2 linked regions of the Arabidopsis thaliana genome follow. The protein of the gene in region 2 purifies or fractionates together with the protein of the main gene of each other region. This does not show direct contact. Each region holds a gene or a part of one and is shown on either strand. Other genes may lie near its edges.

Region 1 (3,760 bases), on a different chromosome or scaffold from region 2:
GAAACACCATTATAATCCAAAGTTAATCATTTAAAATCAATAGAGTGCAAAATATTTGCTCTTTTTTAGCTATTTATCTTAAGAAATAATTTACACAATGGACTTACTTGTAGTAGCACAAGTAACTTGCTCACTACTCCGTCTAAATAAGGTGACAATATTTCAGGAGTACAATTTTCACTGAAGTTGAGTACTGCTGAAGCAGCATGAGCCTACATGAAAAGGTCACAAGGTACTGCTTTAGAAAGTGTTAGAAGATTATATTCACAGAGAAACAGGGGATCTTACCTGCACTCGTGGATTCTGGAAATCATCCATAGCAGCAGCAAGTGCGGGGAGCACTCTCTCATGATGTTGGTTTTGCAAATCTGGACCCAAATCTGTAGACAACTGTCCAATCGCATTTATAGCAGCCCACCTTACGCGAGGATGAGGACTTTGAAACTGGCTCAAAACCATTGACACCACTTGGTCTAGATTTTTTATCATCACCTACATCAAAGTTCAAGATATTCACTATCAGATTGAAAACCACAAAGATAAATCAACTCAGAATCAATCATTATTTAACATCCAATTGAAAGTAAAAACAATGAAACAATTAAGGAAAAAGTTCATTAAGACATGTTATTCACTAAAAATTATACCTTTGAACAACCTTCAGCAATCTGAGCAAGTGCAATCAAAGAAGCATGATGTTTCTGCCACTCAGAGGCAGCCAAGTAAGCAGAAAACTGCTGATATGCAACCGGAACAATGGTGTTTCCTCCCAGAGAAATTGCTAACCGATCCAAACACTCTTGACCCATGCTGTAGTTGCTTGTCTCGCCAGCATCTTCATCCTCAGTCTCAGCGCTGTACCAAGCAGGATCGTCCTCAATATCCTCGAGCATCTTCATAAGAACAGCAAACAACCTGTCAATAAACTGAGGAAGCTTCCTGACCATACCAGGGGCACGCTCACGCGCCTCAGCCAGAGTAACCAAAAACTCAATCGCAAGATGACGTGTACTCTCCTCGAGGGAATCAGCCTCTGCAATCTGAAGCATCGAACCAACTATGTCAACAAGTTGCCGTCTAAGGAACCGTGGCTCGGTACCAGCCAATTCAATCAAAAGCTCAAGTGCCTCCTGTGCAGTTGCTTCATTCCCATTGTTCAGAGATTCGGTCAACGTCCTGATCATCGCAGGCAAAACATCTTGGAATCTATCTCTCTCCGTTGAGTTGGCCAGACACTGAACGAAACTAATCACGGCGTTGAGAGCGGCGATTTTAACATCGGAGCTAGCAGAATTACTACTCAAGCACTGAAGAAACACGCCATGGAGTTCCTTGATGTGAGGGGTAAGAGTCTCCCCAACGTACTGCGACAATTGAGCCAAGATTAAAAACGCCGATTCCTGCAATTTAGGGGTAACAGAAGTAACACACTGGAAAACAAACGGAAGCAACTCCGGCCATCCATTCTCCGGTAAAATCCCGGATGCAAGTTCAGAGACTGTATCGCAAATCTTCTTAGAGATCGATTTAGCCTCCTCATGTTGAATACAATACAACATCGAAGATTTGAGGGAAGATTGAGTGGAGAGGGAGAGACGAGGCCATAGATAAGCATCGTCGCGTGTTAACAACTTCCGGAGAAGGACGGCGGCCATAGCACGACCTTCGGGATGAGGAGAAAGCTGAAGAAGATGAGCAAGCTTCAAAGAGAGGGTATCGGGATTGCTTTGTTTAGCGAGATTGAAAAGAGACTCGGCGGAGGAACGTTGCTCGTTGGAAGAAGACATGAGGTGAGAGATTAGCGTCTCGAAGGGCGCGGAATCGGAGCCGAGAACCATCGCGAGTTGCGCTTGCTGAAGCTGATTCGCCTCGGAAGCCATGGGGGATGGTGGCGGCGGGAAAAACTAGGGTTAAAAAGTGGCTAAAGCTAAGAGGAGGAATGAGGAAGGTCCGAAGGTAGCGAAGGAGGGATGAGGTTGTGAAGGGATAATTATATATTTTATTTTTATTTCCATTTATTTTCCAACTATTATGTATTCGTAATTTGGGGTGGTGTGGGGCCGCCGTGGTGTAAATTAAATTAAGGAAAAATAAAAATTAAAGCAAAGCAATGATAATGTCATTAGCTGTATTTTCAAGGGTGGATTGATAAATTGATCACCAATACGTGTTTCCTTTTTTTTTTATAAATTAAAGTTTCTATTATTTCCTAGGTATAACTATTTAAGAATATAAATTTTTGATTATTATCTTATATTATTTTCTTTATTAAAAAAGGTAAATAATAGGTGGCATTAGCTTATATATTTTTCTAATGACAGAATCTCATAATTTCACATACCTAGGGTATATATTAATATATTTATAAATAAGTACGTAAAAGTAAAAAATATACTATAGTTATAAATTATCGTAATATATTTAATACGCGGATTTAATATGAATATATGATTTATTAATATCTAATTTTTATATCAAAAATGTTATTGAATTAATGTATTTGAAACGAGTGAATAACGTATTGGTTAATATTGATTTAAAATTAGCGAATATATATAAACTAGATTTTAACCCGCGGTATACTGCAGAAACAATTTATTTTTTAAAGTTAGTATACATAAAAGTTTGCAAATTGTATATATCTATAAAATATTTTTATTTTATAATTATAATTGTTATTAAGTAACGTCCTGCCAAACCCGTCCCGCCAACCCGTCCCGTAAAAAAACCATTTATTTTATTAATATTGATCTTATTTATGATATGTTTATGAATTATTGTCTAAATATTTTGTAATTTTGTAGTAATTAAATGCTATCAAATATCTCTATGGTTTGATGATATTAAATATTTTGGAAGTTTTATTTTAGTAACTAATGGTGTAGTTAATGTTGAGTGATTTAAGAAAGATTGTTAAATGTCAAATATTTAATTCGAAGTTTTTATTCTAATTATCAAAAACAAACATTAAAATCTAGTGGCAACCATTGTAACTAAGTCCCAACTACACGATTTATTTCACAAAATGGCTGCAAAAATGTATATATAGATATATAATTTTTAAAACTATGTGAATTTTATATTTTTTGAAAAAACTCTTTATTATATACTTTCACACATTACTATTTTGTATTTAATATTAAGTAAAGAAAAAAAAGCATAATCCTATTAGGTCAGATTGGGTTGGCCTTGGGTACAATTACTAAATGGCCACATGCTTGTTTAGTAATGGAAAAGACATAGATGAAAGTGTGTTTCAAGATTTTTCCTTTGAATTTTGTGGAGGATTTGGAAAATAGAGATTGACCTTTGCTTTTATTTAATGATCAGTTTTATGGCATGAGAGTGTTGGAAAAAAAAACACTATATTTGATGGACAAGAATGAAAGTAAACAGAAAGACTGAACTACCTAAGACGTTCTGAACAAATCATGTAAAACTTTAATGGGCTAAGGCTAACATCCCAAGCTTTGGAACATACTACATACTACAACCTACCTAGGTCAACAAAGTATGAAAGTAATCAGAAATGGTCTTCACCTTCACCATCTTTTAGCGTTTTAAAGGATGAAAAGCGAGTTTATGAAATGGAATGGAACAAAAGCATATCTAAAATTAAGAATCATTGTAGGTAGAGGCCGAAACTCCTGCAATGACATAGTGATTCTTAGATGGTACTCGTAATTGGTTAACACCAATTTTGGAAACCGGTGCATTAGTGTTGGTACAAACCTAAACCCCTAATTCCGATTAAACCGTG
Region 2 (3,760 bases):
TTTGTTTTCTCAGTTCGTGGCACATGCTTCGTTGGCTTATGCCTCTTTCCCAGCAACTCCATTTTCTCTTTGTGGACGACGAAATCCGAGGCCCGATATAAGGCGTCCTGAATTTCAAGGGTTTGGATAAGTTATAAACAAGCCAAATACTAATTTTGCAATCTAATTAATTTAAATAAATTATTAAAAATGAAAATACATTTTTCTTAAAGAATGATTGATCAAAATAAACATATGAATTTTATTTTATAAATTATGTTTACAAGCCAATGCTTTCATAAATCTAGATTCGTGATCCAAGCAATTCTATTTCTTAAAACATAAACTATACAATAAAAATTATTTTTTGATAAGACAACTCAAGTTTTCATATTGAGTACATTTATAGACGACTTTATGTTTTTTCTCCTATTTTTTTTTGTTGGACTTAACATCATATTAATTTTTTTCTATTTTTTTATTTCCTCCTATTAGAGTTTTGAAGGCTGTTCTATAAGTCTGTAGAGTGTCATCGAGTTTGGTGGACCAGTATATTCTTGAAGTTCCAACCATTCTATTCAAGATAGTTTTTATCTGTTTGTTGCTGACTTCACCTTGACCACTAGTCTAGAGATGGTAGGCTGTCGCAACCTTATGCTGCACTCCATACTTCTTTAGCAAGTTCTCAAACATCTTGTTCATGAAGTGAGATCCTCCATAACCACTCTTGGTATACCGAAGATGGGGAATATGATACTCTTGAATAGTTTCAAAACTACCTTAGAATCATTGGTTGGACTTGCAACTATTTCAATCCACTTGGAGACATAGGCTACGACGACCAAGATATACTTATTTCCCTAAGAAGATGGGTTAAAAGTTCCATGAAGTCAATCCCCCAGACATCAAACATCTCAAACTCGAGTATAGGATTCTTTGGCATCTCATTTTTTCTGGTGATATTTCTTATCCTTCGGCTATAAACTTATGAACATTCTTGAACATGGTTGGCCATTAGAGCCCAACTTGCAGTATCTTCTGAACAGTTTTGAAGGTTGCAAAATGTCCTTCATAAGCAGAGCCATGTCAATGTTCTAGGACTCCTTGGACTTTTTCTTCAACTATGCATCTTCTGAATAAACCATATACGCCTTTCTTGTATATAGAAGGCTCATCCCATAAATAATGGTTAATATCCCTAAATAATTTCTTTTTCTGATAAACATCAAGGCTTTAAACAAATCAAATACTAATTTATGCAATATAATTAATTTTTAAAAGTTATAAACAAAAATATATTATTAATTTTTTAAAAATGACCGATCCAAATGAACATATGAATTTTAGTATATAAATTGTGTTTACAAGCCAATGCTTTGATAATTCTAGATTCGTAATCCAAGAAATTCTATTTCTTAAAACATAAACTCTACAAAAAAACATATTTTTTTTATGGGACAACTCAGGTTTTCATATTAACTACATTTATAGACTAAATTTTATTTTTCTCCTATATTCTTTGGACAACATTAATTAATATTTTCTCTATTTTTTCAAGCTAATGGTTGACAAAAAAAAAGAATATTTAGGAGACAAATGAAATTTACAAAAACAAGAAGAAGTTACTATTTTGCAAACTCTCTCTTTTAATTAACAGCTTTAAAAGAAAATAGATAAACTCATAAAAAGCCCATAAGAGAAAACTTGAACAGAACAAAAAACCCAACAAAACCCAACTTAGTAGCGTCTCTCCATTCTCTTCTTCTTCGTCGTCGTCCCTGTCTTTTCCAAACTTTTTTGCTGTGCGTTTTTTTTTGTCCAAAGAATCATATTCTTTTGCCCTCTCACACGAGTCATATTTACCTTTTTGCCACAACAATCATGGCGGCGACGGCGGTGGTCTGGCAACCCCGAGACGATGGTCTCGCTGAGATCTGTTCTCTTCTCGAACAACAGATTTCTCCTTCCTCCGTCGTTGACAAGTCTCAGATTTGGAAGCAGCTTCAACACTTCTCTCAGTTTCCTGATTTCAACAACTATCTCGTCTTCATCCTCGTTCGCGCTGAGGTTTTGGAACTTTTCTCTACTCTCTCTTCGCTTCCTGAGATTTTTTTTCTTCTCCGTATTGACTCAATCTATTTGTCGAATGAGTTCGGATCGTTGAATTTTCGTTTGCTTATCGGATTCTCTTTGTTGCTTAGCTTTAGTTGAATCTACGTTTCCTTTGAATTGCTTAAGATTCTCAGACTTTAGAACATTGCTTCTCTCGTTATGAGTTTCTCTGTTCTGTACCTTAATGGATGGATATATCTCCTTTTGATCATATTTGTCTATGTCAATAGTTGATGTTTCTGTTGTATGAGCTTTTTGATTCAATTGACTTGAAGTTTACTTGTATCCAAATAACATAAATGTTGTGTAGAATTTGTGGATTGTGTCTTCTTCACTTGATAACTCATATTTATTTGCATTGGCAAGAACTAGCCTTGAGTTTTTATGTTGCTGTTGCTGTTTGATTAGGTTTTATGCATTTATATCTTAATTCACTCAACATTCGTCTATGTCTCCTTCTGAATAATTCTTCTTTGTCAATAGTATGACCTTTGTGATTCAATTGACTTGAAGTTTACTTGCATCCAAATAACAAAAAGTGTTGTGTGATTTTTAGTGGATAGTGTCTTTCTATCTTGAGAACTCATATTTATTTCAATTTAGTTGGATCTACATAGTCTATTTGCAGATCCTAGGCAAGAACAACCTGGAGTTTTTCATATTGCTGTTGTTTGATTAGGTTTTATGCATTTATGTCTGTTTGTTAAATTGCTGATGTGTGCTTGTACAATGATCAGGGAAAGTCTGTTGAGGTTCGTCAAGCTGCTGGATTGCTTTTGAAAAATAATTTGAGGGGTGCTTATCCATCCATGACTCAAGAAAACCAAAAATATATCAAGTCAGAGTTACTGCCTTGTCTGGGAGCAGCGGACAGGAATATACGGACTACAGTTGGAACTATCATCAGTGTTATTGTTAATATTGAGGGAGTTTCTGGATGGCATGAGCTTTTGCCAGCTCTTGTTACTTGTTTAGACAGTAATGACCTTAATCACATGGATGGTGCTATGGATGCATTGTCAAAGGTATGTAGCAGCTATGTGTTCTCTTTTCTGTTTCTTGCTCTTTTCGTTGAACCTTTGATTTATGAACCATAAGCTTGTGTAATCCAAAGTTGTGATTGTTGGTTTTGATGATATATTTGGAGTTTTTTTCAAAGTTTTTCTAATATCTACATGTCGTATTCTTATCAATCAGATTTGTGAGGATATTCCGCATGTCTTGGATACAGAAGTGCCTGGCTTAGCAGAACGCCCTATCAACATTTTCCTGCCTAGGCTATTACAGGTAAACATCTCTTATTCCTACACAGATTTTGGAACTCGGTTGTAGCACTTGTTTAGGTTCTAGTTTGATTTCTTTCGTCCTGTTGGATTGGTTGCGTTAAGATTGATTACCTCTCTTTTTTTGAGCAGTTTTTTCAGTCACCCCATGCTTCACTGAGGAAGCTTGCCCTGGGTTCTGTGAACCAGTATATCATTATAATGCCTGCTGTAAGTATTGCGAAGACTACTTGTAAGCTTCGTTTTTGTTTTATATGTTATTAAGGACCGTAAATGGTAACAATCTGAGTTTGGCAGGCTTTGTACAATTCATTGGATAAGTACCTTCAGGGGTTGTTTGTCCTAGCCAATGATCCTGTACCAGAAGTCAGAAAATTGGTATGCCT

Evidence for each region. Proteins that work in one complex are often made in the same cells at the same time.
Region 1: the proteins of TRN1 (region 2) and emb2734 fractionate together in Arabidopsis thaliana (co-fractionation; one large-scale study listed by BioGRID). This does not show direct contact.

What each region holds. Positions count from the first base shown.
Region 1 is NC_003076.8:6,699,368-6,703,127, forward strand, and holds the start of emb2734 (ARM repeat superfamily protein), read right to left. Parts: upstream 1,989-3,760; 5' UTR 1,881-1,988; coding exon 648-1,880; intron 493-647; coding exon 289-492; intron 213-288; coding exon 108-212; intron 1-107.
Region 2 is NC_003071.7:7,352,079-7,355,838, forward strand, and holds the start of TRN1 (transportin 1), read left to right. Parts: upstream 1-1,768; 5' UTR 1,769-1,860; coding exon 1,861-2,046; intron 2,047-2,828; coding exon 2,829-3,116; intron 3,117-3,288; coding exon 3,289-3,378; intron 3,379-3,506; coding exon 3,507-3,588; intron 3,589-3,663; coding exon 3,664-3,752; intron 3,753-3,760.